2 linked regions of the Xenopus tropicalis genome follow. The protein of the gene in region 2 interacts with the protein of the main gene of each other region in a biochemical or structural test. Links are inferred from orthologs where the notes say so. Each region holds a gene or a part of one and is shown on either strand. Other genes may lie near its edges.

Region 1 (5,085 bases), on a different chromosome or scaffold from region 2:
GTAGATTGAAACACTTACTTCAGACTTGACTACAGGTTGGGATTTTTTGACTTGCTGCAATGAACTTTTCTTCTTTTCAATGTAACGCTTTGCTTCTGAAATGTAGGTTGGGTGATACTGTTAAATAAGACTGAACAATACAGGGCTGCTTCTAGACATCTAGATTTCAGACTGAGGGACTCTTTACTAGGGATGCACCAAACCCACTTTTCACCAAACGGCCGAATACCAAACCGAATGCTAATTAGGATCGGGAAGGGTTAAACATCAGCTCACACTGAAAAAATCCCCCCCCCAAAAATGTAGCCCTTCGAAATGCAAATTAGCATATGCTAATTTATGCTAATTAGGATTCAGATTCGATTCAGCCGAAATCGAACCCTGCAAAAAAAAGGCCGAATACTGAACCAAATCCTGGTTACAGTGCATCCCTACTCTTTACACTTATCCTATGAGGATTCTGCCCTGCCCCCAAATACAAATCGACTTGCACTTGATATAGTCTTGCCACAAATTATGAATTAAAAAAAAAAATAAACATATATAACATATAATTATTTGTTACATATACAGATCCATCTCTCGCCATTTGCTTGGGAACTTATTCCTTTATGGCAAAGGTTATTAACTATTGACTTTATTTAGAAGGAAGATTTATCAACGCTCGAGTTTGATATTTTTTTTTTTTTAAAGATTCAAGTTTTTTGTGCTAAATGTGAACGTTTATGTTTGCTATACATCACATTTTTAATTTTTCCCCGCCACACACAGTATTTATAGATCATTTGCACTTGGTTTTGTAACTTTGAGAAAGGCTGGTTCTACAGCTGAAACGTCAGTTTCTCTTGTTCAATAAATGTCTTTTGTATTTTCATAAATCCTGTGAGACTTCTATATGTTCTACTTTCTATCGAAATTCTATGAGGATTGCAACCAGGCAAGTCTCTTTACCAGTAACACGAGTGCTGGCATTTTTATCTAATTATATATAATATACATACACACTGCAGTTACACACCTGGAAGGTGTCACTTTAAACAGAGTTGTTTTAAAATATTTCTAATGAATCAAGAACCAAATATGCAGATACTTACGTATAACACTGCATAGGAAATTTCCCAATAAAAAGCAATGTTACCTTATATAAATTGGGGTTGCTGGATAATGCTATTAAAACCAGTAAAAAGATAAATAAAATCAACATGCTGCATAGCTATTTCTAAGCATGCCGCAGACTGCTATGGTTTTTATACAGCTTGAATCCACACAATGTTGCCTATGCACAGGTTTATTATAGGTCATTTTTTCTATGTTTTTATAATAAAAAAGATGAAGCTACCAATTCATAGACATTGTTTGCAATCAATCCAAAAGAAAGAGAAATAGGGAAGAAGAAAAAAAAAGTCTTACCTTCAACATGAAGTATTTTAACTCCCCAGTTGAGGGCATTAGATAAAATACTATTTTTTGGTAGAATTTCCTGTGAAAATAGATACCAGAAGAACAGACTATATCAAAGCAGTTTACCATAGAAGAAAAAAAGAAACCACCATAAATATTTCTAAATTAAAAAGGAGAATGCCGTGGAACAAATCACCCGCTAATTTTAAAACAGGGGGTGTACTAAATGTTCCCTTTAAGCTGTGTGTTCGTGCACACACAGCAAATTGTGGTGCACACAAAGAAATTTGTATGAAAACACAACATTCTGTATCCATTCTGACCTGAACACACCATTTTTTAAAATGTGCACACAAAAGATATTTTTGCACACATAGCCAAGATGGAATTAGATATAACATTGGGCGTACTGCCCCTCTGAACAATCTGTAAATGAGCTATTTTACTAGTAACAAATAATAGACTGAGGAAAGCAAGAAAATATAAATAGTCATTAGCAAATGTAAGAGTCTCACCTGCTCTTTGATCGCCTTTTTCACTAAAGATTTCCCCCGACTTACAAGGCTCTGTTTACACAATAAAAAAAAAAAAAAAGTTCAGATAAATGTTATATTAATCAATATCTGAGAAACTTTGCTTTTTCCTGACTAAACACAGCACTTATGTGTAGTTTGACAAATGTTTTCTCTCATTGCACAAAGTTTCCAAAGACTTTTACAGCACAGCAACTCAAGAATTCTTGAGACACCAAGAATTCTCAAGTCAGTGGAGCAATAGATGGACTTCCATTTAAACACACACATTGATGTGTAATTAAATGGTTTAAACAGAACTTGCTGACAGGTTTGGGCACCCGAGCTTTAACCGAAAAAAAAATAAAAAATATGATACTGTTCCTTTAAGATAGGGGAACTAATAAATCATCCCCAAAAAAGGTCATGTGACATTACAGCTCTGGACAGATGAAACAAGCAAATATTTAGCAAATTATGCAATATTTTGGTCTATTTAATTTTGGTCAGATATGTATTATTTGCATAATAATTTGCAAATTAAATATCTGACCAAATCTTTGAGATGATAAAATATGTGTTTCTTCAAATGCTCGGTGTTCTGTGATGTGCATTTTCTACGTGAAATCTGCCCCCTTGTGCACAGCGGCAGGCTGACCCCCTTCCTGTCAGTGACTGTACACACAGGGCAGCACTGGGCTAACTGAAAGCTACAGAATGTTCTACCCCATTATAAGAATACACTTACTCAATTCTACACAAAGAAACTTGCATGATTTACATACTTTTCAATGTTAATAGACAATCAAGGATTTTGCACAGGACTTTGGACTAATGTAATGTTTCTATGTGAGCACAATTTAAAGTCAGAAGTTAATTTAGCCTGATACCTTTTCATTTTTTTTACTTGAATTTCCTTCTTGAGGTAATCGCCTATTGCCTGGGCTGGTTGAACTCTCTCCGGTGTTTTGAGCAGGTTCGGGACTCGGTACAGAACAAACATACTTCAAAGTCTTCACACATTTTGCTTCCTTTTTACTTGTTATAAGATAGCTGATTTCTTTGCTGAGAAATCCTTCAACAGTCTGAGAAAATATGGAGGGGTAACAATTTTAAGACATTTTAAAACAGATAACAGTTCCTTTCACCTGTTCACACCTCCCAGACAAGGCAGTATATCACAGCTTAATGCCAACGGCTTCTATAATTAGCAGGCAATTGAAGGTTCATTTACGAATTTGTAATGTAAAAAGTAATGAGTACAAATGCTAATTTCTAGCAAAACATTCTCTCTTGCAGCACAGGGGTAACAGATATTTAGTACTTCTACAGATGAGCCACTCAGAAATTTATCTGAAAACATCCTTAAAGGAGTAGTTCACTTTTACAAAATCTATTGCTTTCAAGTAGTAGTAAATCAGAAACTATAACTTTAACAGCTTTTAAGGGGAAGGAAAGTAAACATGGTAATATATCCAGCTGTGATAGAAAGCACACAATTGGTGTGTGTGTAAGCAGCACAAAATCAGCATAACGCAATGTTTGTATAACTTTTACTGCACGTTGGTTGCCTAGCAACAACATTGGCACCAACTTAGGTTTGTAACACACATGGTGCTGGTGTCCCTGATGAAAGTTCCAATCAGGAACAGAAACGTTGGACTGAATAAACCTCATTTTTCTTCACCTGATGACATTGGGTGCAAATCCCTTTGAGTGCCATCACTACCTACCGACATACATAAATAAAAATGTAATACAATACAATCTTTTACAATGAAGTAAAAGATACACTAGTTGCATTAAGTTTTTTATAGTTGACTTACACCTCCAAGTTCTTTTATGTCTTTTTCCAGTTTTTCAGATATTAATTTGGATGTTAGGTCAAGATAGAACACTTTCCCAGAAAAAGGTTTGCATATGTCTGCTTGAACTTTTCCAGTTGGATTCTTCACTGTTGCTACAGTGGATTTCATTTTCACACCTCGCCCATGTGGTGCTCCTTCAAAACAAGAGAAAAAGGCAATCTGTATTATTACAACATTCTCCGACAACTGTTTTCTTCTCTATCGAAAAAATGCCAAGCTTTTCCTTGAGCCAATAACCTAACTTAGAACTTTAAAGGAACAGTAACACCAAAAAATAAAAGCTTTTTAAAGTAATTGAAATATAATGTACTGATGCCCTGCATCAGTACAGGGAAAAGGCACAGGTTACATAGCCGATAACAGATAATCTCTGTAGAATACAGTGTTTTATCTATTATCTGCTATGTGCCTTTTCCCTTTTGAATGGCTGCCTCTGTGGCTACACGGCAGCTTTGTTTATATAAATTTCTGAGGCAAACATACCAGTTGTACCAGGGCAGGGCAGCAGTACATTATATTCTAAATTACTTTTATACGCTTTCATTTTTTGGTGTTACTGTTCCTTTAACAAAATACACAAATTAAAAAGGAAAGATGTATATTTACAAAAGGTGAAAATTTCAACTCACTGTTCCTTTGCAACTTGGGTCCCCTGCTAGCTTCATTTGCTTTGTCCTCCGGAGAAAGCACCACCTAAGAAAATGTAAGATCAGTTAACTAACTTGTAAATGCAAAGATTGGTCATCCCAATGGTATGCATTCAATACAAAACCATGCAAAACTGATAACGGGCCAAGTACAGTGGATGAGCAAATGGGAAAAATTACAAAGGATAACAGATTGTAAAAATATACATATAGGGGCACATTTACTAATCCACGAATCCGAATGGGAAAAATTCAGATTGGAAACGAACATTTTGCGATTTTTTTCGTAGCCGTTACGATTTGCTCGTATATTGTCGCGACTTTTTCGTATTGAGCGCTCGTAAACGGCAGGCAAACCTTTCAGACTTTGCATGATTTTGGAAGCCTCCCATAGGACTCAATGGCACTCTGCAGCTCCAACCTGGCCCAAGGAAAGTCACGATACTGAAGCTTGAATGAATCCGAAACTTTCGTACTCGGCGCGACAGCTACGAAAAAGTCGTGACAATTCACGCAAGTCGTAACGCTACGAAAAAGTCACGACAATTTACGAAAAAATTGCAAAATACCGATCATTACGGAAAAAATGCATTCGGACGCTTTTCGGACGTTCGTGGATTAGTAAATGTGCCCCATAGTGTGTTTTCTAACACTGCC
Region 2 (5,085 bases):
TCAATAGTAAGAAATCCAAGTCCGGCTTGGGACTCCTCCAGTTACATGGGAGTAGGAGAAACAATAGGTTAGCTGAAAGCAGTTCTAATGTGTAGCGCTGGCTGAAAGCTCAGACTCAGGCACACTTTACTGCTGCGCTGCAAGTTGGAGTGATGAGAGTAAATGTATACAATGCAGATATTAAGTCTTCCAACCCTCTCTCTCAATAGAGTGATCAAGTTCCAGTTGGGAACATCCCTCGCTGTATGTCTGTGTATGTACGTGGGGAGAACACGCGGCTCGCTCAGCCCGGGGACCATGTCAGTATCACTGGAGTCTTCCTGCCGATGCTAAGAACTGGCTTCCGTCAGGTGGTACAGGTAATAAACAATTTACAGTTATTACAATTCATCATTCTAGCTCAGCAGCTTCCTTATATTGCTGTGAGGTGGGATTACCCTTTAGCGGGTTTTATGTACAGGTTTCTGTGTGAGTAAATGTAAACAAGAACAGCAATTCCTATATAATATTCCTATTTTATGATCAATTTTGTACTGTGGGGAGTGCCCGGCCGCGGCTACCTAAGCATTTGTTTGAAGGACAAGTCAACCCAGAATATATTTTTTTGCCTTATAAAAAAAACTTAATTCTAAGCAATATACATTCCTTACAAACTTGTAATGGTTTTTGAGTTATAACTGTATAATTTTGGGGTTCACTGGTGATTTGTGTGGTTTTTCCTACAGGGGCTCCTTTCAGAGACGTACCTCGAATCTCACCGTTTGGTGAAAATGAACAAGACCGAGGATGATGAACTCGGAACAGAAGAGCTGAGTGAAGAGGAGCTGCGACAGATTACTGGTAAGCAGATGAGGAGTCCCTGTATGGAAGAACTGACTTCTCTAGGTTATAGACTATAGACCAGGGGTGGGCAATACGTCATTTGCGGTCCACCAGTCGATCCCCCCCCCCCCCCCAGATTTCTGTTGGACCTCGATCAAGCTGGGGATGCGGAAGTGCTGTGTGAATGCGTCGGTCTGGTCCATCGCGACCGGACAGAGTCCTGCTATAGACTGTCTCTGTATGACCCACTTTTGACTTAATAAAAATCAACTGGGGTCCAGACTGACAGCTACTGTATTAGTTGCTGCTTTGTTTGCTCTATGCTGCTTATAGGAAGATCTTGTATTTAGTCCTTATTCCTAATTGACTTTTTTTATTGTAACACCAGAGGAAGATTTCTATGAGAAGCTGGCAGCCTCCATTGCGCCTGAGATTTATGGGCACGAGGATGTGAAGAAGGCTCTACTTCTGCTCTTAGTGGGAGGAGTTGACAATTCTCCCCGTGGCATGAAGATAAGAGGTATGCATCATTGACTAAAGGTCCCCATACACCATAAGATCTGCTCGTTTGGCCATGTCGCCAAGCGAGCAGATCTTCTCCCGATATCCCCCATCTACGGGTGGGTGATATCGGGAGAATCCAGGGTAATTCGGTTGTTTGGCCCTGGGGCCAAATGATCGAATTATAACGTCGGGAATAGGAAAAGCTGATCCAACTAGATTTTCGAATCTGCCCGATTTCAGGCCAGATATCGGTCGGGCAGGCCCGTCGGTAGTGCCCATACACGGGCCGTTTAGCTGCCGAATCTGTCTAAGGGACCCATATCTGCAGCTGCTGTCGGCCCCTGTATGGGGACCTTAAGCCTTCCCCTAGTTTGAGTTCATATAAAATATAGAAGCCGTTCATTTCAGGTAAACTGACCTGTGTATGTTTATTTCCCCCCTAGGGAACATTAACATCTGCCTGATGGGTGACCCAGGAGTTGCAAAATCACAGCTGCTTTCTTATATTGATCGTCTAGCACCTCGGAGTAAGTGTTCAGATCTGTCGTCGGAATCCGTTTGGAGTAACGGAGGACTAGTGTAGAAGTTATGTACCTTGATTCAGGCTTAGCTGCTATTTGTAAACAGCATTTCTTTTCTCTTAGTCTGTTCTGTAACAAAGACATAGTTACATAGGGTTGAAAAAAGACCAGAGTCCATCAAGTTCAACCCTTCCAAGTAAACCCAGCACACACAACCTATACTTGCCTATCTATCCACTCACATACAGACCCATACTGACCTATCTATATACTCACATACAGACCCACACTGACCTATCTATCCACTCACATACAGACCCACACTGACCTATCTATCCACTCACATACAGACCCACACTGACCTATCCACTCCCATACAGACCCACACTGACCTATCCACTCCCATACAGACCCACACTGACCTATCCACTCCCATACAGACCCACACTGACCTATCTATCCACTCACATACAGACCCACACTGACCTATCTATCCACTCACATACAGACCCACACTGACCTATCTATCCACTCACATACAGACCCACACTGACCTATCCACTCACTTACAGACCCACACTGACCTATCCACTCACATACAGACCCACACTGACCTATCTATATACTCACATACAGACCCACACTGACCTATCTATATACTCACATACAGACCCACACTGACCTATCCACTCACATACAGACCCATACTGACCTATCCACTCACATACAGACCCACACTGACCTATCTATCCACTCACATGCATAAACTATATATACAAACATTAATACTAAGACTATTGACCAACTTGTCTAGTGGAAAGCTGAAGACTTTCTATAATTACACAGATGTCTCAACTGCCACAAAAGGGTAAGCTACTGTTTATATGAGACCAGCAGAGCTTAAAGGGGACCTGTCACCCTAAGTAATAATAATTCAAAATCCTTTTTCTATCATCTGAGTGATATCTGGGAAGTGCTAAAGAGAGAGTTAATTGTAATTAAGCTGAGCTGTCGGTCATATATTGCCTGCCTCGCCTCTACAAATCGCCCTGCTTTGACTTCATCAGGTCAGTACACAACAGGTCGCGGCTCCTCCGGGGTGGGTCTCACCGCAGCGGTAATGAAAGACCCAGTGACTGGCGAGATGACACTGGAAGGCGGAGCTTTGGTACTGGCGGATCAGGGGGTTTGCTGCATTGATGAGTTTGATAAGATGATGGACACGGACAGAACAGCCATTCATGAAGTCATGGAGCAGCAGACTATCTCCATAGCCAAGGTCGGTGGATAGTTAAAACTGACTGCCATTTTGTCTTGACTAAAGTTCCCACACATTATAGCATTAAAATACATATCTTTAATCCCCCCCCAGGCTGGCATAATGACCACTCTAAATGCTCGCTGCTCTATTCTTGCTGCTGCTAACCCTGCCTACGGGAGGTACAACCCAAAGAAGACAGTGGAGCAGAATATCCAGCTCCCTGCTGCCTTACTGTCCCGATTCGACCTACTCTGGCTGATCCAAGACAAGCCGGACAGGGACAACGATCTCAGGTGAGGGCTCGTAAAAGTAACATGAGAACATTTAACTTTTCCTTTAAAGGGTATCTGTTGGATTAACTCCTTTATTCTTTATCCCCTTAGACTGGCGCAGCACATTACATACGTCCATCAGCACAGCAAGCAGCCGCCATCACAGTTTCAGCCTCTGGATATGAAACTTATGCGGTTAGTACGACTTGTATGTACAGTAACGGTAATATAAACTATAGTAGGGTTTCTGTAGCAAACACCCCAGCTGTACCAGTGCAGGAATGGCTGCCCCCGGGGCTACACAGCGGGGTATTTATATAAACTATAGTAGGGTTTCTGTAGCAAACACCCCAGCTGTACCAGTGCAGGAATGGCTGCCCCCGGGGCTACACAGCGGGGTATTTATATAAACTATAGTAGGGTTTCTGTAGCAAACACCCCAGCTGTACCAGTGCAGGAATGGCTGCCCCCGGGGCTACACAGCGGGGTATTTATATAAACTATAGTAGGGTTTCTGTAGCAAACACCCCAGCTGTACCAGTGCAGGAATGGCTGCCCCCGGGGCTACACAGCGGGGTATTTATATAAACTATAGTAGGGTTTCTGTAGCAAACACCCCAGCTGTACCAGTGCAGGAATGGCTGCCCCCGGGGCTACACAGCGGGGTATTTATATAAACTATAGTAGGGTTTCTGTAGCAAACACCCCAGCTGTACCAGTGCAGGAATGGCTGCCCCCGGGGCTACACAGCGGGGTATTTATATAAACTATAGTAGGGTTTCTGTAGCAAACACCCCAGCTGTACCGGTGCAGGAATGGCTGCCCCCGGGGCTACACAGCGGGGTATTTATATAAACTATATAGTGCTGGGCGGTATACCGGTAAAAACCGATCACCGGTGTTTTTTTTTTAAACCGATATGTATTTTCTACATACCCCCATACCGGTGTGCTTGAATACTTCCGGGTGCGCACGTGACGTCAGCGCGCACACTCTACAAAAGCGCCGTCGCATTCAGAGTCGGATACCAATGTGAGCTGTCGGGGGTGGGGGTGCCTGGCAAGTAATTATATTTTATGTGAAGGGGATGGGGGGGTGTTATTTATGTGAAGGGGATGGGTTGTGTTTGGGGGGGTTGTGATGGGGTGGGGTGGGGGGTTATATTTATGTGAAGGGGATGGGGGGCTGTTTGGGGTGGGGTGGGGGTGTGCGGATGGGGGGTGGGGGGGGTGTGTGCGGATGGGGGGTGTTTGGGGTGGGTTGGGGGGAGTGTGCGGATGGGGGGGTGTTTGGGGTGGGGTTGGGGGGTGTGTGCGGGTGGGGGGGTGCGTGCGGATGGGGGGGTGTTTGGGGTGGGGGGGTGCGTGCGGATGGGGGGGCGTTTGGGGTGGGGTGGGGACGTGCGGGGGGGTGGGGGGGCTGCGTGCGGATGGGGGGTGTTTGGGGTGGTGGGGGGGGTGTTTGGGGTGGTGGGGGGGTGCGGGTGGCGGGTGTTTGGGGTGGTCACCTAATCATGCATGGGGAAAAAAAAATACCGTCAAATACCGTGATACCGATATAATTTTGAAAAATACCGTGATATAAATTTTTGGTCATACCGCCCAGCACTAAAACTATAGTAGGGTTTCTGTAGCAAACACCCCAGCTGTACCGGTGCAGGAATGGCTGCCCCCGGGGCTACACAGCGGGGTATTTATATAAACTA

What was found.
Region 1: of the proteins of mcm7 (region 2) and dbf4, one has a biochemical effect on the other in vitro, tested with the Homo sapiens proteins (2 studies listed by BioGRID). The link is inferred for Xenopus tropicalis from reciprocal best matches to the Homo sapiens genes MCM7 and DBF4.

The regions. Positions count from the first base shown.
Region 1 is NC_030682.2:29,280,635-29,285,719, forward strand, and holds part of dbf4 (protein DBF4 homolog A), read right to left. Parts: intron 4,475-5,085; 5' UTR 4,411-4,474; intron 3,916-4,410; 5' UTR 3,890-3,915; coding exon 3,740-3,889; intron 2,999-3,739; coding exon 2,804-2,998; intron 1,968-2,803; coding exon 1,917-1,967; intron 1,481-1,916; coding exon 1,411-1,480; intron 96-1,410; coding exon 19-95; intron 1-18. UniProt on the Homo sapiens protein: Regulatory subunit for CDC7 which activates its kinase activity thereby playing a central role in DNA replication and cell proliferation. Required for progression of S phase.
Region 2 is NC_030679.2:144,216,959-144,222,043, forward strand, and holds part of mcm7 (DNA replication licensing factor mcm7), read left to right. Parts: intron 1-209; coding exon 210-359; intron 360-725; coding exon 726-840; intron 841-1,210; coding exon 1,211-1,342; intron 1,343-1,769; coding exon 1,770-1,853; intron 1,854-2,914; coding exon 2,915-3,126; intron 3,127-3,219; coding exon 3,220-3,401; intron 3,402-3,491; coding exon 3,492-3,575; intron 3,576-5,085. UniProt on the Homo sapiens protein: Acts as a component of the MCM2-7 complex (MCM complex) which is the replicative helicase essential for 'once per cell cycle' DNA replication initiation and elongation in eukaryotic cells.